Linked DNA regions of Alligator mississippiensis. The protein of the gene in region 1 interacts with the protein of each later gene in a pairwise test. Links are inferred from orthologs where the notes say so. Each region holds a gene or a part of one and is shown on either strand. Other genes may lie near its edges. The genes, in order: RNF185 and YIPF2.

The links.
Region 2: the proteins of RNF185 (region 1) and YIPF2 interact in binary tests that used the Homo sapiens proteins (3 or more experiments, as listed by UniProt). The two-hybrid records come from large-scale screens. The link is inferred for Alligator mississippiensis from reciprocal best matches to the Homo sapiens genes RNF185 and YIPF2.

Annotation. Positions count from the first base shown.
Region 1 is NC_081833.1:20,567,149-20,576,512, reverse strand, and holds the start of RNF185 (E3 ubiquitin-protein ligase RNF185), read left to right. Parts: upstream 1-5,253; 5' UTR 5,254-5,417; intron 5,418-9,364. UniProt on the Homo sapiens protein: E3 ubiquitin-protein ligase that regulates selective mitochondrial autophagy by mediating 'Lys-63'-linked polyubiquitination of BNIP1.
Region 2 is NC_081831.1:23,570,731-23,580,637, forward strand, and holds YIPF2 (protein YIPF2), read left to right. Parts: upstream 1-5,161; 5' UTR 5,162-5,380; coding exon of another isoform or gene 5,381-5,385; coding exon 5,386-5,416; intron 5,417-6,192; coding exon 6,193-6,335; intron 6,336-6,760; coding exon 6,761-6,841; intron 6,842-7,156; coding exon 7,157-7,244; intron 7,245-7,425; coding exon 7,426-7,542; intron 7,543-7,998; coding exon 7,999-8,165; intron 8,166-8,622; coding exon 8,623-8,805; intron 8,806-9,011; coding exon 9,012-9,146; 3' UTR 9,147-9,156; intron 9,157-9,252; exon of another isoform or gene 9,253-9,414; 3' UTR 9,415-9,812; downstream 9,813-9,907. Other genes in the region: TIMM29 (mitochondrial import inner membrane translocase subunit Tim29), read right to left, coding at 4,039-4,679, 4,957-5,047.

The DNA.
Region 1 (9,364 bases):
AGAGCTCAGCGTAGCAGAGAATGCATGAGCTGTAACAGCTCAGGGGCCCTAAGGAGAAGGGGAGACCCGGCAAGCTGGGAAGCAGCAGTGGAGTCCTCAAGGACAAATTAGGCAAAGAGCCTGCTGGCAGTAAGTCTGGCAAGGGCCCAGGGGTGTAAAGGCAACAGATGAAAAGGAGTTGAGTGCTGAGTCCTGGAATAAATGTAAGAAGGGAAGATAGAGGCTGAATATCAAGGATGAGTACTCAGACAGCAAGACTTGTCCCAGCAAGAGATGGGGACAGACATGCTGCCTGGGTCTTTCAAAACTGAAGAGACAGACATATGCGATATGATAGAGATGCTAGAAAATGTGCACTAGCCAACAGTCCTGCCATTGGCAGGGAGATGTCAACTGGAGATTTGTGTTGTTCTCTTCCATTTCTGACAGATGGTTTGGGGTTTTGCTTTGCACAATGTTGTGTGCTTGGGCACATAAAATTCCTGGAGGACTCTGTCAAGATGTGGAAAATGCAACAGGTAGACAGTCATTAATCCATGTATGAAGAAATACATTAGGTATATTTTTTCCATGCAAAGAAAGTCTACATTGTCACCACCTGTGCTTCTTGTAACTAGCATGCACATAGACATGGGATTTTGCGTTCCAGGGACTCCAAACATGCTAACATTTAAGAGCAAAATTAAAAAGAACCAAATTATTTGAAGACAGAAAACAGTGGAGAACTGCTTTCCCAGCCTCTTTTAGTCAATACGTTTAATTGTATTTGGACCTTTCCTAATGACTCACAGTATGCTATGCAGCTATTTCTTTTACCTGGTAGTTTTACACTTTCTTAATGGAAATCTTTATGTTCCTAATAATACATATGAATCAAGATAGAAGTTTTAGTCCATTGTTATGTCTGCCAGTGAGGAGTACCAGATACTTCAGAGCATAGTGTAAAAAACTTTAATCTGACATTTATATGTAGGTTTCCCACGCTTTATGCTGTACATGTGTTCCTGGAAAATGGTGTATAACTTGAATTTGCATAAAGGGAACACACTTTACAATGTAGCAAATAGGGATATGTTCCAAGACCTTGACTGTACTGACTCCCAGACCCATTTCTACCACTTTTACAAGACAATTTTGGTACTTTCCCACAGAAGACAGTACACACAACAAGCACAGGGCATTATTATAATAAGGATGGCAACTACAGAAACATATGTTGCAGATAACAAGCAAGGAACACAGCTCCACACAGGAGACTATATTTTGGTGCTCGTCACTCCCACAATGCACTGCAGAAAACAGCTGACTGTGGGTTTCCACCATGCAGATGCATAACAGTGAATTTACATTGCATATAACAAATGTTTGGTATAAAAAGGGTCATCACATAAGAGCAAATTTGCATACAGAACCTGCATAAAGTGAGAGAAACCTGTAATGTGTGCTTATATAGGACAAATTGTTCAGGATGTTTGTTGTAAGCTTGTCATTATGGCAGTGCTTGGAAATATAATTAAAAAGGCAGATAAGAACTGCCATCCTAGAAAAAATGTTTGAAAGCAAGCATGTCACCTGCAGGAAACAGGTAAGATCCTTCAGGCCAAGAGAGATTCATGAAGTGAGTAACAGTTCCTGGAGAAGGCTTTCCATGTCCACCTAGAAAGAAAGGTTCAAGGAAAGACTGGAAATAGATGAGCTAGCATGGCTGTTGAAAAGATGTAGGGTAAAAAGGGTGATATTGTCAATTGTGTTTACATGAGGCCATGAATATACTACTGTGCTAAAAATACTAATAGTATGGGAGAATACTGGGAAGAATGACAGTGGAAAAGCACTGATGCTAGACCCTGAAAGAGCCCTGACAAGGTGAAGGATTATTTACCTTGAATTGTTTGGCAGTCTATTGAGTATCACACCCTGAGGAAGGAAATCAAGGCATAGCAATACACATGAGGGCTGATTTAGTAGATGTGGCACATACTTTCCTATAATCTTAGGCTGTCAAATGCCCTGGAACATGGGGTTGTACCCCTTATATATGTTTACCCTATCCAGTGTTCATCTGAAAGCTTTTACAAACGTATGACATGGTAATCCTTTGAATCCAACTTGTATTCAATGAGGAAAATACTGCCTTTCAACATTTTTTAACTTGTTGCTATTCCATTTAATTGCTCCTTGCAAATGTTATTATGGGAATAGATGGGAAAGCCTCATTTATCCTCTCCAGATTCTTCAGGGTTCAAAATTACTGTCTCCTTTTACTAACCTTGTCTCTAAACTTGCTTAATTTTTTCAGCCTCTTTTTTGTAAGGAAAGAATGCTTATCATACTGCTGTCCAACTCTGAATCTCTTCTAGTTTAAGAAATAAATGTTGGCTAGTAATCTAGTGAGTAAATGCTATGGATGTATATAGTGAGAGTGTATTTTAAATATTTATGTGAGGCAGAAATAGAATCATTCTTTAGATAGCCTAACATTATAACTTGCAACTATCATTTGCATTGACAAGATTCCCTCAGTAAGCTGTCTAAAGTTGCTTTTAAGTGAGTTGTATAGTTACCACAAAATGTCAAAGCAACAGAGAACATTTTGAGCACATTACTTACTTTCATGCTCATAATACTACAGAAAATCTGTTTATTTTGTAACAATATTCAATAAGAAATTTCTGCAGCAGTAACTAGCTGCACTGATTGCCACCTGGCTCATTCCAGCTCTAATAGGGTGATCTCATAATCCCACAAATACCTTCAGGGCCTGTGTAACATCTCACTAATTTGATATAACATCCAAGTACTGAAATGTTGTTGAAACACTGATGTCCCAAGCCAATCTCATGCTTCTCAGAATATTACAACTGTAATACAGGAGTTTCCTGTTAGGCCAGACCTCTCTTGGCCTTCTATCTGGTACCATGTAAACCAGTACAGCCTGTTCTATGGTCGGGTTGTTGTCAACTAAACGAGCACTCCCACCTGTGCTAGCCTGGGTGAGGAGGGTGTGTGGACACCCAGCAGGACTGAAAACAAGACCTGTCAAAGGTGGATGAGCTTCCTGCAAGCCAACAACTATCTGTACCTGGAGAGGAGATGGGTGCCAGCAGGTCACTTTGCCCAATGAATAATCAATGATGCAAATCAACTCAATTAATCTCATACCAGATTGGTCGAGGCCTGGGTCTACGACTGCATCCAGACAGAGTGCAGTAAAGGAGGGTTGTTACAGCATCTAAGGTGCTCCAACAATCGCAGCAGCCTTGGGACGGACTCGACTTGAATACAGGAGTTTGGCCTGTCTGACAAGATTCTTTGGGTAAATCCAGTATCTCTTATTAGACCAACTCTTATGGGCTCAGATCAAGCATAGACCTATGCTTGCCTGGCAAGAGAAACACCATGACTATGGAGGCAGTCCTTCCTAGTCACACTAGGGAAAACTGCTCTCCTGGCACAGGGATAGTACTTGCCAAGGTAATGTATAATAAACCTCCCACTTAGCTGCTGGAGTGGGAAGGTCTTGGCTTTAAGCCCACTTTATGGAAATTTAAGTGTCCTCCCTGGCTTGCCCCTGAGGTCCTATGGCTGAGGGCAAGCAAAACTTGGGGGCATCTGAACCCCAAGCCTCTGGGCTTGGGCTTGCAAGTAGGATGCCCGCCAAAGGTTTTGGAAACATCTGAAGCCCCAGGTGTGGGTGGAAGATGTTTGCTGGTAGTAGGGACACTTATGGTTCTGGACCAACTCTTGAATTTGGAATTTGTTTTGGCTAATTTGGCTTGGAATATGGAAAATTAACACCCCCCCCTCCCCCAAATAGTTTGAAAAATTCTTCTTACCAAGCTTTTGGGCACAAACACCCTTTGTCAGACTGAGGAAGCATCTGCAGATGGTCTGTGTTCTTCCTGGATGGCATGGTAAAGCAGCCAGAGACCAGTACTTTTATGCAAGAAAGCTAGTCAGTTAAATGTAAATTTAAGTGGTCAGTAGGTGAGAGACAGGTGGGAGGGGAAGGGGGAATGAATATAGCTGTAGTGAAAGGATGGGAGACAGGAGGGTAGGGGGGAAGGGAATGAGAGTAGCTGGTAAAGTAGAGGGTTTACGTGGGGAGTCAGATGTTAGATTTGACTGTCTGACAAATTCTCCAACAGAGCAAATATAACCAAGGTAACTAGCTGAGCTTTATGATGTAGGGCAGGATTAAAACTTTTGTAATAGCATAGCTCTCCATTCTAGATATTGTTCACATCTCCACCTCAGTTGTTAGTGTGATACATTCATATCCCAATCTAGGTTTTTTTGGTGATACTGTCACTGTGGACTTAGAAACTTTTACTGAGGGCAATTCTAAGGCTTTTAGCATGGCTTCCTTCCCTGGCACAACTAAATGTCACAGCTCTTATCAAGAGATTCACCAAGTTAACAGGTTCACAGAAGGTTAGGACTAGAAGGGGCATTGGGTCCAGCCCTCCTACTCTGGGCAGGAAAGACTGCTGGGGGCAATGTGGCAAGCAGCAGAGGGAGCTGAGGGTGACCACTGGGCAATAACTGGCCATGCTGACCTCCCTGCTTCTGGGCTGGGGGCTACGCAGTCTGCTCTGCTGTGTTTGAATCCATACACTGGGCCTGTGTGGTTTTAAGCTCTCCCTTTAGTCCCTGGGTCAGTCTCAGGCAGTGCCTCTGGCTCAGGCCTCCTTCTGGCACGTGCTCTAGACATGCATAAGAACACTGACATGGATTGCCATTTACCGGGTCAGACCACAGGGCCATCCAGCCCAGTAGCCTTTGTCACCTGGCAGCACAGATGCTGAAAGGGAGAGAGGACTGGGTATAACCAGGGGTTTTCCCACTGTTTCTCTCTCACTTGCAGCTTCCATGGTTGATGGAGGAGGGAAGCTCTCATTCAGAGGCCCCCATCCTGCCCTTCCACAGACTGGGTCTGGTGCCTCTCTGAGGAGCCCTGGCCCGGCCGCCGGGGCAGCACTGGCCGCCCCTCAGCCAGGTGACGGTCACCCCAAGGCCCTTGTCCCCAGCGCTCTGCTTTTGTGCACATCCCTTCGGGGCTGGGGATGCCCCGGGGCAGCAGGGAGGTGCCGCAGGTGCCGCCGGCTGCTGCTCCCTCCCCAGGCGCTGCAGGCTCGGGCCTTTCCCTCGGCCCCGGCGCCTGCTCCCCGTCTCCCGCCTTCTCCTCTGTGGAAAGGGACGGAATGGAGCCGGGCGCTGCCCGTCCGTAGGTGGCGGCTCCTCCGTAGCCCCATGAGGGGGAGACTTCCGCCCGGCCCCGGCTCCCGCGGAACCCCAGCGCTGCAGCCCGGCGCGGCGGCGGAGCGGCCGGTCCCTTCCCGGCGGGGCGGGCTTCCGGGGAGTCAGGTGACGGCCGCCGGGGCCGAGCGCGAGCGGGAGCGGCCCGAGCCCCACAGGTGAGCGCGGCGGGGAGTCCTGTCCTGTCCTGTCCTCTCCTATTCTGTGGGGTCCGCCAAGGGCTCGGGGCGGCGCCGGCGAGAGGCTGGATCCAGCGCGGGCGCCGAGGGCTCGGCCTCGGGTGCTGGGCTCGGCGGGGAGCGCCCCGCGGGCTGGGACGTGGCGCTCCGCCCTGGCCGCTCGCGGGGCAGCTCTGATGGGGGCAGCGGGGCCGGGGGTCCCCGGGAGCGACTGCATCGGCAGCGAATTGAGCCCCGGGAGCAAAACATCCCGTAGGCAACTGAATGGGGTTTGCTGTAGCGCGTGTTTAGCTCCGATGTGGGATTGTGGGGCGTAAGAGCCGGGCGTAGCTGGGGGCCTCCTCGCGGCCCAGCCGGGCGGGGCTGACAGGAAGGGCCCCCGGGCGCTGTCTTGTCCCTTGTCGGTTCCTGCCTCTGAGCCGGGGCATCGGGCACCGTCGGGTGTGCTCGGCTCATCCGGGTCTCATGTTTTGAACCTGTGATCTTCCTCCTTCCCTGTGTTCTTTTGTGTTTTCTCCCAAGAAATGAATTGTTACTTTCTCAGGGGCTTCCCTTTTTAAGGGAGGTGTATGGTTTTTCTTGGTGGGCAATGGCCCACAGTCCCTTGAAAGCAGCAAATAGGCCTGTAGGCCTGTCCCTTGTCGGTTGGTGCCTCTGGGCAGAGTTTCACTGGGAAGTGCCCACTGGCTTCTTGGACTCATTTGAGGGTTGTTGGGCACTGGCCGTTTGCCCTGCTCACTGTCCCACCTTGGCGCGCTTGTATTGAGCAATGATCTCACTCCTATCCCGTTTTCTCTTTAGCTATACCCCCAAACAACTTGACCTATACCCAGTAGACTTCCCTAATAACAGGGAGGGGCTAACCACTGCTCCATGGGTGTTCAGCCCACATTAGCCCTGTGTGTCAGATGGGGCTGGCATAGCCAGGTTATCTTCTGGGATTGTTCAGCATTTCCTGATCTGCACAAAATAAACTAAATACTTCTTTATTGTGTTTAGAAGTGTCAAGCAAAATCTCCTTGGTCAGCCTATAGAGATCTTTATCCATTGTCCACATCAACTCCTTAAAGAATGTTTGCTTTTAGTAAGTTAATTCCTTCATGCTCTACTGCCAGGAAAAATATCCGGGTTGTGTTATCAAACTGGTTAAAGCAGTTTTGCTTTATTCCTTGGATGTGCCCAGGTAAAAACAAAAAACAAAGCAAGCAAGCAAGGGTGCTTTTGGATAAGTGTTGTTCCAAGTTCTGTCTGAATTTATTCTCTTTTGGATGGAAGACAAAGAGGATAAAATGTGATTTAGTTATTTCCATCTCTTCAGTTTATTTTCTGATGGGTTGTAGTTCATATGGTTTCACTGTACATTGTATACTGACAATAACATTGCATTTGTGAAGCACCTTTAATTTCAGTGGATCCCAAAGCACCCTTTAAATGTAGGCCTCCAACTTCTGTCAGGTTCTTGAGCACAGGTCTATGAAGAAATTAAATAAGGTTGTGTATTGGTTCATGGATCCAGGCTGGGATAGTACTTTACACTAAAATGCAAACTATCTGTAAGAACCACCGATTGAATAACTGAAATGTGTATAGGACAGAGCAACATACAAACACAGGAATCTGGAATGTCTGTCTAAAGAGCAAGTTAAAGCATAACCTGTTTGTTTCTCTTCATCCATCCCCTGTCCCTTAACAAGTAGATAAATATGTGTTTAATAATTAACAAGTTGGATTGCCTCAGTTATGTACATGTCATGAATATCATAAAATGAACATCAAGGAATAAACTCAGTGCCCTAGCAAGGCGGGGAGAGTGGGGTGACCGCCCTGGGCACCAAAATGAAGGGGCGCCAAGAGGCACTGCCCAGCCGGGTCAGTGTGCAGGACAGAACTGCAAGCAGCTCGTATGGGGAGGCACAGGGATGGGGGGGAGGGCAGCTCCTGCCACTGCATGCACTCCCAAGTAAGCATAGAGGGGAGGGTGTGCCCCCCCCAGATCTGTGTCTGGGGCAAGAGTGGACTGCCGCTACGGGCTTTGCCCCAGGCACCAAACCTTGTTGCTACAGCACTGAATATACTTATAGTTTTTTGTGGGGCAAAAAAGTGATTTCTGACCACATGTTTATCACACTTAAAGTTCAGGGAACTCAGTTTATTTTTCATATTGGTGTTTTGTTGTTTGTGTGGGCTACATGTTACAAACAGTCTGAAAAGAAAGGTTTCCTGATGCTTTTACTGTTAATGACAGTTTTTTTAAATTTTAATTGCTGTGTTAGTACATGAGAAAGTGATCGAACTCACTTTCATTGCTCAAGTTGAGGGGGGTTCAGAAACTAAATACAATAGAATTCGTAATGAAAAGCAAACTTGATTTAAAAATTCCTTCAGTTTATTATAATCTCAGATATAACAAAGTGCAACTCATTAGAAGTTTTGTATTCATTTTGCTAAACAGAATTGTTAACTTGACAGGATCCCTTTTGATTTCATATTTCATGTACATAGCAACAAGAAGTATAAAATAGGGCTATCATCACAGTTAATGTGTGCGATTAATGCGTTAATCAGTTCCTGCATTAATTTTTTTATATTGCGCATATGGTTTTGGAGCCTGCTTCTGGGCTCCAATCCACCAACTCCAGGTTGCCTAGCGGGACAGTGGTGGCAGCACAAAAGACCGCAGGGCAGCCCAAGTGGCTGCAGTGCATGGGGTGTGGGGGGAGGTGCAAGGACAGATGCATACCAGCAGCTGCGGCCTGCACGCTGTGTGTACAGCAGTGCTGCACCATAATTCTGTAGCGGGGGAGAGGTAGGGGGAAAAGGAAGGGGCATGGCAGATGAAGTACCCCATGGTGAGGGAGGAAGTGGGGTAGGGGCTGGGGTGAATAGGGCCCTGTTGCCGGGGTGGGTTGTGGGCCAGAGCCACGAGAGGCTTATCCAGGGGTGCACGGGGGCTTGGCTCCCTGCCGCTGCATGCAACCGTGGGAGAGGGATAGGGGTCATGTGCAGAGGTAGGCTGCCCGCTGTGGGCTGGGACTCTGCACTCTGCTGCTTTTGCCCAGGGAGCCACATGCTGGCCACATGTTCCCTACCCTCCCAGCTGTCGGACGCACATCGTGGCATACTGCAGCTCCTGGGGCAAAGGCAGAAAGGCATAGAGCCCCAACCTGCAGCGGCAGCCTGCCTCTGTCCCGCACACAAATTGTGGGGGGGGTGGCCCCCATGCCTCCCCTGGGGGTACACACAGTGGCAGGGAACCATGCCCCCGGGCACCCCTGGACAAGCCTCCTGTGACTGTCCCGTGACCTGCCCTGGCCCCATGGCCCCATTAACCCCAGCTCTGCCCCATGCACAAATCAGGGGGCATGTGCCCACTATTCCTCCTCCACAGTTGCGTGCAGTGGCAGGGAGCCCCTCACTGTAGGAACCTTGATCGCCCCTCCACAGACATAGCCTCCAGGCGCTGTGCATGTGTCTGTGACTGTACTTCTCATTCCCAAACCGTAGCCCTCCCAGCCCTGCTGCTGCCCCTCACTCCTGCCCCACAGCACCCTGCATCCTCCCAAGGCATGCAGGGATCCCCCCTCCTCAGGCTCCAAACTCCACACACACACCCACAGCCCTCCACACGCACCCCCAACCATACAAAGTCCTGCATAATTTTGAGTTCTTTTGCATATAATTTTATTTTTTAGCTGTGCGATTAAAATCACAACTAATTGCGACTAGTTTTTTTTTTTTAATCGTGCAACTAATCTTAATCAAATTTTTTAAATGTTTGACAGCCCTAGTATAAAATATGTAGTGTTGGCATCTAGTCAGTGACATAGATCCCAGTTGGAAAGCATTTATTTTGAATGCTTTTGAAAAAAGTAACATTCTGATACTGCTATAACTATATATCCTGGAAATATCATTTATAATTTAAG
Region 2 (9,907 bases), on another chromosome or scaffold:
TTCTAGTTAACAAAGCTTTACATGGGAGGTGAACCATCCTGCTCCTCAGTCCTGAGTTTCATATTGTCACTCTATGCTGGTGTTTCTCCCAGGCCAACAGTGACCCCTGGGGCAGGTGGGTCCTTACAGACTATCCTGAGATGTTTAGGAAAGGCTGACTATTTTATCATGTTCCAAAGCAAAGAAAATCTTGCCCCCTCACCTTCCAAGGTCAAAAGGTTCCATATCCACCTCCACGCACACATGCACCCCCTCACACATTATCACAAAGCCTATATGTTTTTAATGTTTTTTCAGTAGATGCAGAGAGATCATGAACATTTTTTTTTACTTTAAGCAAGGGGCTGCTAACCCAAAAGCAATGAGAAATGCTGCTTCAACCATTACCTCCCACATCCTTTCAGAATATCAGGATTAAATCCAAGGACTCTAACAATCCCCCTCCCCCCCCTTACATTTTAGAGAGCGCACACACATTATTTTGTGCTGAAAATGTTTTAATTTTCCAGATCATTTCTCTGTCGATACAGTGGAAGGAAGGATCCACAGAGGATGTGATTTTGTTAGCAGGAATCACCCCTTTAAGGAAGGGATTTCAAAGCTTAGAGGAGTTTCTTTGCTAACTCTGTTATAGGTGTATGCGTAGGATTCACTATCTGATCATGTAACCTGAATTAATTATTCAAGAACTGTTTGAGGAGACATTTCATATTTGCATGCCTTGCATAAAACTATTTTAAAAACCTGTGAACGTATTCCTAACAAATCAATTTACTTTTAAACAGATGGGCCTATAACTCTTACTAAAACACGCAATGGAAAGACATGATCAAAATTACTGTGGCTGAGCTCAAGCCTCTGACTCAATTCTGAATTGGATGCAAATTTGGCTCCAATAGGAGCATGGAGTTTATCCAGTCTGGGGATGAGACTAGAAATGCTTATAATGGAGTGCTCTACCATGCCAGATTTGTCCCCATGTCACATAGTACTGCTACGCAGCAAGTTATTTGGGTCACAACTAACACCAGGACCTGCATCTGCAAAGCCAGTGATACCTAGAAGCCCCCTCCTGAAGTGTGACCTCAGAGCTACTCATGAATAAATGCTTCCCTCCCTTACATGTTGGGGGCTTTAGACACTAGAAGTATTTTAACACCCTCCTTGCTTTGTTTTTTGTTGTTCTATCTGGGAACCTCTATTTCCAGAGCACCTGACAGACTCCTTTAAATAAAAAAAAAAAAAAAAAAGGCTGAGGGTGCACAAATCAATCTTTTCCCTGGCCACAGCCTGATGTGACTACTATACACACTTGTCATTTATCTTGCTTTTGCTCACCTGGGTCCTCCATTTCTCCAGAGGACAGAAAACTGGGGAGACTAGAACAAGGCCTATTACAAGCTGTGTAAGGTCCAACTTTGCTAAAGAGAACCAGGTTTTTAATAAAGGAACCAAGCTCCCCAAAGTAGAAAGGGAAGCTAGTAAGTGAAAGGCCTGCTTGAGAAACCAGTCAAACAGCATGAAATTAAGCAGCCAGGAGCCATAACCAAATGAGAACAGCAAAAAAACCAAGATGGGAACCCTTGGCTACTAAAGCACCAATTTCCCTTCTCTGTTTATGGGCAGTTACCTCCAAGCTGAGGGCTAGGCAGTATTTTGGCCTTTTGAAAGCACTTTGGTACTGAAAGGACTGAGTGTGTGCGCAAACCAGGACTGCAGTGCTAATGTTTGTTCCCCCCACTTTTTTACACAAGCCAGAGCTGCAGATGGATTTACTAGTGAACTGGCGGCAGCAGCAGCAGCAAGTCAAGATGTCCCAGTGCTGGAATGCCATGCAGAGATTGAGAGGACAGAAAGGAAAGTTCCTGGGTAATATTTACCTTGTGCTTTGTCACTATGCACACACTGCATTTATCTCTAGGTATGTCATGCATGCAACACTTCTGCTTTTACTATTCCATTTGTGTCTTTTCTAGACAAGCTCTTCTGCTTTAAATTCATGGCCCACTTGAATTGGAATAACTTTTCTGGGCAGATGAGCCCTAATCCTCTCTCTCACACACATGCTGCATGCATTGTAGATCCAGGTCTTGACTCCCTGCCCCCTGGCTGGGGAAGCAAGAAGTGGGTGGAGGAAGGCAGCATGAAGCTCTCTCTTTGCCCCCCCCTCCCACCCAAACTCAAGGGCAGTCCAAAAGCTGCTCACTCTCACTCTACTTCCTGGGGAACAGAGAACAGTGACAACAGACCACACCTATGGTTTACCCCCTACCTCTGGGCTTGGGTATGGGGCTCTTGTACCAGCTGGGGAAGCCCCAGCACAGCAGAGTTCTCAAGGGGCCATTTCTACCCCCACTGCATTGTTATGTTGGCTGAAGAGGGCACTTCACAGAGCCCAGAACACCAAGCTGTGTGCATGGGCTCAACCCCTCCCCCCACTGTCAGTGTCTCTCATTCATCTTTAAAAGAGCTGGAGCGTAGGCTGAGCCATCACAATCAAAGAGAATCAAACAGAAATCCCTAGGCAGCAGATGCCTCTAAGACCCCAGCTCCTGCAGTTGCTCAATCAATTATTCAATAGGTTAATAAATCATTAGAACAGGATATTTTAAGAGCCCAACCAGCTCCTGAATGTTGCCTTCTTGTTCCAGCTCAGGTGCAGAACAGCCATCCTGTCTTGGGGAACTCAGTTTATCTTTTGCTTTCTCTGCCACCCCTTCACCAAAAGAGGTAAGTGCCTGTTTCTTTCCCGACCCACTTCTGTTGTACTCTGGGCTAGCAAGAGACACCTTTTTCAGTCTTAGCAGCTCCATAAGGGGCTTCTCTAAATGCCTGTGAACTGTGCACTGCCCGCCAAGTCATAGCAGGTCCATGCCCCTGGGCTGCCTCCAGGTTCAGGGAGAACTGCAGTGGGAATCTCTGCACCTTTGTCTGAGAGCAGCAGTACCAAGGAGTTTTCCTTAGCTCTTTAGCACCCTCTGCTGTTCCCTGAGGAGCTGACAGAAGGCTCAGACTTGGGTTGGGGGCTACAATACAGCTGAGGCTCTATGCAGAGGATAGAAGGCAAACAAGACCAGCCCCCTTGGAAGTGATGCTGCTTGGGCCACCTCCACCCCAAACAGACGTTTTGGCTGATGTTGCCCCAGATGCCCTGGAGCCTCAAATACTCCCCAGTGACCAGGGGCTTTGGTTTCACCTCATTCCAACTATCACAGAGCTGCAAAAGTCACGTGGGCCCTAGCGGATTATCCACCCAAAAGCAAAGGCTTCCCTTTATGACTCACCTGCCCTGCCCCCCAAAACTGGGCTGGGCACTGGGGGCAGCAGCAGCAGCTCAGAAAGGAGCGTGCCTGTACATGCCACCTGTACCATTTTCAAGAGCACATGGGTCCCTGTTACCAGTCTCCCCTCTGAGCACTGGATCTGAACTCATCTAGAAGAGACAGAAGCCCTATGGAGCGACATTACCCTGGAACACCTCTAAGCCAGTGGTTCTCAACCTTCTTCAATTCAAGGCACACCTTGATAGAACCTTGGAAGAGGTCAGCTCTTAGCTTCCACTTGATTTTTCTTACACAAAAATCACGGAGCAGTTTTTCTGTTGCAGAAAACACAGAAAGATCTGAACAGGTCAGAACATTTTGCCACTCTGGATTAATACTTGAAACCTTTCTGCTTATCTTGTCAATCCTGTTTGCATGTCTAACAGCACTAACATTGTGTAGCACCTCTGAAAGGATCTTAAGATGCCCCAGAGTGGTGCAGGGTCCCAATCAAGAATCACTGCTCTAAGCACTGGGTTGGCATGGTACCCACAAGAGGCAAGGCAAGCCCATGGATAACGCATCCCATAGGTTAGTACAAAAATCACAGCAAACGTAAGAGCCTCCGCATCCTCTTTATTGAATGCCAGTGCCACCAAGGCTGGGAAATCAGCATGCAACAAGGCTGAGGGGTCCAACAAGAAACAATCCCATAGTAAAACCTATCTGAGCTTCCATATCCACCCTGGCTCAAGCAACCGCTGCTTGGTTCAGGTTACTGGTTTGTGACCCCCTGAGGCAGTGGCTGCATCTCCCTCTCTGCCTGCTCGATTTGTTCCTCTGTCAGGACAACAGGCTTGTATTTCTCGCCGAACAGTCTCTCATTAGTCTCCGAGTGGAGGTTCTGGAAGGAGATGATGCGGAGCTGCTCTGGAAGGTTCTGGAACTCCTCATCATTGATGTCAGAGTCCTTCATTTTGGCATTTAAAACCCACCAGCGCCCCCAGAACCCCACATCCAGGATGCGGCCTGGAAACTCTGTCCAGCGCGGCTGCAGGTGCTTGCACTGAGCCAAGTACAGGTCGGTCTCTGCGTCGAAAGGGGCCTCATACACCAGGGAAAAGAAGACCAGGCTCTGGTAGCGCAGCTGCCCCCAGTTCCTCAGCTGCATCAGGCGCTGAACGTGGCCCTTGGAGGTGGTGTTGCAGACCCAGGGGGAGAGGAGGAGCAGGGTGCCAGAGGCCTCGAGGAGGGAGGCATCGAAGGAGGTGTCGCTGGGGATGCGGAGGCTGCAGGCGGCTGCCCCGGCCAGCACCGAGAGGTAAAGCCCGGCTTTCCCGGGCCGTTGCCGGGCACCCACAACCACCTCCTTACAGGCTTCCACATAATCGTGCAGGAGGCTCTTCCACCACTGGCCTGCACAGGGGCAGCAAGGTCAGATGCTGCTGGCTATCAAGGGCCCAGCCCACCAAGGGGCGGCGGGTGCCCGCGCTGGGGAAGCCGACGCTCTGGGAGGGACCTGCAGCTACGCGCGGGGCCGGGATTAGAACCGAGAAGTCCGGGCTGCCAGGCCCTGCGCCAGCCCCTCCTCCCGTGGGAACCCGGGCCGCTGCCTCCCCCCCGGAAGAACCCAGGCGTCCGAGCTGCCAGGCCCTAGCCCCAGGAACCCAGGAGCCCTCCCCCTCCAACCTACCCAGGCGGCTAGCGCCGAGCCGCCCCCAGAAGCCGCGCCTGCCCCCCCGATCGAGTCCCGCGCCGCTCGTGGTGTCTGCTACCACCGCCATGGCGCCAACCGGAAACTGTTTCCGGCCGGAGGGGAAGTGGTGCCGGACCGGACGAAACCATCCCGGAGCTCGGGGGGGGGGGGGGCGGTTCCCCTTTCCTTTCCCCCCCCCCCCCCCCCGGGAGTGCGCGCGGCCAGGCCGGAGAAAGGGACACGCAGCACTGGAGCGGGGGGTGCCCGGCTTTGCCAGGACACGTCACTCCTCCCTGTCGTGCTCCCCTTGCACAGCAGGGCCCCGCCTCGGGGTGTCTCAGGAGCTCGCGCCTCAGTTTCCCCCACTCCCCCCCCCGGCCGTAACAAGCCTTCGTCTCCCCCAGGAGCCCGGGGTGCGCTGATGCTATGGCGGCCTCCGACCAGCTCCGCTTCCACGGTGAGCAGGCGGCCGCCCTCGGGGAGGTCCCGCCGGGCCGCGAGGGGACCGGACCCGGCTGCAGCAGGTGTTTTCCCTCCTCCCGCGAGGCCTTGGGGCTCTGGCGCCCCCAGAGCCCGGCCGGGCCCCGCGCCGCCCTCGGGCACTTACTGGGCGGTTGGCACGAAGCAGGGACGGACCCGCTGCCCTTGGCTTCCTGCCTCCTGGGACCGCGGGTACCCCCCGGCAAACCTCCCCCTGCCTCTGGCCGAGAGGCTCTGGCTGAGGGAGCCTGGCGTCTGCGGGGCATCTGCCAGTCCCTCATCCACGCGCGTATCCCAGCAGTTTTCCTGGGAAGGGGCACGGCGCTGGCTGGTGTGCTGTTCAGCACCCCCCCCTTCCCCCCCCCCCCCCGAGCACTTGCTAGCGGCCCTTGAGCCTGCTCCCTTCCTTGTTTTTTCTTTCGTTGCCCCAAATACTCTCGTTAGGTCTTCATAGGTTTGCCTAGTGGAGGGAGGTTTATAGCTCCCGGGTGAGCCAGGCCCACACTCCTCTGGGCATAACAAATAGGTCTGCCTAATGGAGACAGTGTGGTCTGGCAGTTAGAGCATAAAACTGGGACCTGGGTCCTTCTGGCCAAGATAGAAGTACCTTCTGTATCATCGTAACGAGGGTGATGAACTCCCCAGCTCCTTCAAGGCATGACACTGGGAGGGTGCAGGCTCAGGAGTGAGGGGCTGGACTAGGCAGTGGCCCCTGAGCCCTGGGCTGTGATGGCTGGCGCTTTACCCCTGCAGAATTTGATGAGGCCGCCGACCTGCTGGCTGCAACCCCCGATGCAACAACCACCAGTGTCAGTGAGCGGCAGAGCCATGTGGCCCTGGATGTGGGCTCCAGCTATGACGAGAACGAGGAGGGCGATGAGAGCGATAAGACAGAGGTCGGGGGCAAAGCTAGCGTGCATGGGCAGGAGGGTGGCAGGACTAGTCTGGAGGGGAGTGCTGGCTCCAGGTCGGGCCCAAGGTTGGCTGGGGCAGGGAGTGTGCACTAGTGGAATAAAGAGCCCTTCACTTCCCAGCCCTAGGTCCAGATCCAGCCTGGGCAGCTGTGCCTGGGCTGTTCCCAGCTGCTGCTAGCTGTGGAAGCCATCGGGGTCCAAGTAGATCAAGTATTTCTACCTCAGTTGTGGCTCTCTCTGGAGATGGGGCTCCTGCCTGGCATGCTGGGTAATCCCAGTTGCTTGGAGCAGCTGGGGTGGGGTGCACTGGTCTGGGAGGGAGCTGGGCTCACAGTTGGAGGTGCTTGGGGTTCTCTGTGGGTAAGGCTGGTGGGGCCGCGTGGTAACATACATTCCCTTCCTCGCAGCTGCTGAGCGGCCAGAAGCAGCCACCAAGTTTCTGGACCTTCGAGTACTACCAGGCCTTCTTTGATGTCGACACCTACCAGGTAATGGAGCCTGCGCCCTTGTGGGAAGGCAGCATTCTGACACAGGCAGTTAGAGATGCTGGCAGGAATGAGTCCCATAGATTCATGGGTTTCTCAGCTCCCAGAGGCTTTGTACATTATTAGGTATAGTATGGTAGCACCTGAGAGCCTCAGTCGCAGGCCAGAGCCCCATTGCACTAGGGACTGTACATTATGTATTATAATCATATTGGGAAGCCCCCACCTAGGACCAGGATGCAGCTTTGCTCTCTGGTTGCTGCCTGGTGAGCCCAGAAAGCTGCCTGCCTCACTCCACTCCTGCTTTCTTCACTGTAGGTGCTGGACAGGATCAAGGGATCGCTGCTTCCACTACCAGGGAAGAACTTTGTGCGGCATTATCTACGGAACAACCCTGACCTGTATGGTGAGCCCAGAGGGGGTCCATGATGTGGGGCAGGCCAGGGCAGTGCAGGCTGAGCCCTTTTGGCCTCCTGTGCCCCAGGGCTCAGGTGCCATCCGTCAACCAGAGCAAAGCAGGGCATCTTTGGTCTCTGGCTTCTGCCCCAGCCTGGGCTCAAGGTCGCACTACCCTTGGCCTCTTCCAGGGCCCTTCTGGATCTGCACTACGCTGGTGTTCACACTGGCCATCAGTGGCAACCTGTCCAACTTCCTGGAGAAGCATGGCAACACCTCCTTCCGCTACAGCCCCCAGTTCCACAAAGGTGAGGGGTAGGTATGGGACAGGCAGGCATGGGCCAGGCCCCATGAGAACCCACCAGGCTCCTGGGCAAACTTGACCCCTGCCAGGCACAAAGCTTTAAGTGAAAAGAACCTAGGAGTCTTGGCTCCCAGCCCCAAACCACAAGACCTCCTTCCTCTCCCAGTTGTGGGGGGAACCCAGGTGTCAAGGTCCTCGGTTCCCCCTGCTCTAACCCACCAGACCCGTCCCTTCCCACAGCTGGGAGAGAACCCAGGAGGCCTGGACCCCACCTCTTGGCATTTGAGTCTCAGCTTTGAGCTGATTCACTGTTGGCTGCTTTGCTGTCCTAGTGCCTGTAGCATGTACCGTGGGTGGTGGTTGTTGGGGGGGGGGGGGAACAACACAAAAGGCCCCCCCAGCTGGCTGGCTGGCCGGCCGGCCGCAGAGCACTGGGTGACAGGAGCCCATCCATTGGCAGTGACCATTGCAGGCGTTGCCATCTATTGCTATGCGGGGCTGGTGCCGCTGGCCCTGTGGGGCTACCTGCAGTGGCGCAAGGGTGTCTGCCTCAATGTGGCCTCCTACACCCTCCTGGAGACTGTGTGCGTCTATGGCTACTCCCTCTCAGTGTACATCCCTGCCTCGGTGAGTTTCCTGGGCCCCAAATCCTCCAAGGGGATAGGCTGAGTCTGGTCATGGAGCTGCCCTCTTGGGAAGCTGGTGGGGGTAGGGAACTCACCCCTGTCCCCTCTGCCATGGGCACCATGTCCTCTAACCCCTGGGCCCAGCTCAGCCATTTTAGCTAGTTGTCTTTGCTGAGACTGAATTTCCAGCCTGTTTGCTCCTGCCCTGCTATTTACCTCCAGACGTGGCGCCCTGCTCCCATCTGTGTTTACCTTCTGGGTGGTGGGTGCCCAGAGCTGCAGGCAGGGTCCCTGGTGCAGTGTAGACTCACAAGTATGAAGGCAGCTTAGATCCCCAGGGCTCCCTAGAGCCAGAATGTGCCATCCAGATCCTGGCCTGGACAACTCCTGCATCTCAGAACTGTGGGGCCCATGATCCTTGCTCATGCTTACCCCCTCCCTGTCCCGGTCTTGAGCAGGTGCTGTGGCTCATTCCAGTCTCCTGGCTGCAGTGGCTGCTGATCGCCACCGCTATGACACTCTCCGGGTCTGTGCTAGTTCTCACCTTCTGGCCACTCATCCGCTTAGACAGCCGGGCTGCCACATTGGCTGTACTGACCATTGTCCTCGCCCTCCACGCGCTACTGGCTGTAGGCTGCAAGGTACCCAAGGCCCAGCATCTTGTGGGGCAGAATAGGGGAGACCTATGCTTGGGCAGGGTCATGGCAGCTGTTGCTCAGTTTGGGTCTGGTGTTTGTTCTCTAGAGATCCGGGGGGGGGGGCACGTGCCTCAGATCTGGAACCAGGGACCTAAGCCAGGTCCCCCCACCCCCATTATGTGTACTTCTCGCTCAATTTCTTCTTGCAGCTCTACTTCTTCCAGAAGCCAGTATATGCTGTCCCTCTCCACTCTGCCTACACTAAGGCTCCAGGGGGGGCACAGCTACTTACAGCCTCTCACCCCCGCCTCAACAGCTCCATGACTACCCCCCTCCGTTTCTGAAGGATGGCAGGTGAGAGCTGGCCAGGGGGGCATGGGGCAGAACTGGTTCCCCCTGTGCCCTAGTTCCTGGCCAGAGAAGATGCCCCTAACTCTATCCCCACCACAGCCAGGGTTTCAAGCAGCAGCTGAGGCACCTGTTATGGGAACATGGGACAGACTCTGAGGAGCAGGACCCTGGGGCACGGTGGTCTCTATGCCAGGGCATGACAGGTGCAGCCCCCTGGAGACCCTGTACCAGCTTGGATTCACCCTTGTACTGCTGTTTCAGACTTTGGAGGACCAGCCTCTTCTCTTTGCCTCTAGGGCTGTGTGAAGCCATCAGCCAGCTCCCCAAACCAGTTCAGATGGATGCTCCATCACACCCGCTGTAGCTCCTTCGACACTGACCAGCCCTGTTGGTAACACATGGCAGCTGCCTGCTCTCAATCTCTCCTCCAGGCTAAAGCTCCACTCTGCTTGAGCCCAGCCCGTTCCCAGAAGTCCTGGTTATTCTCAGCAGCAAGGGTGACTACCCTTGGTCGCAGCATCCTTGTGGCACTGGGGGGGGCTGAAGTGGACTGTGCCTGCCATAGGGCATCCGTGGGAAGCAGGCAGCAGGTCTCAGGTTTCTCAGTGAACAATTTTTATATGCACAAGTTGCTGGAATAAACAGCAAGACTGCTCCCACCTGGTGCTGAGCAGGGCTGTTTCTTGCACTGGCATCTTTTGCCCATTGGGCTATGTCACAGACTCCCCTTGTGCTGTCTCCAGGCAAGTGTCAG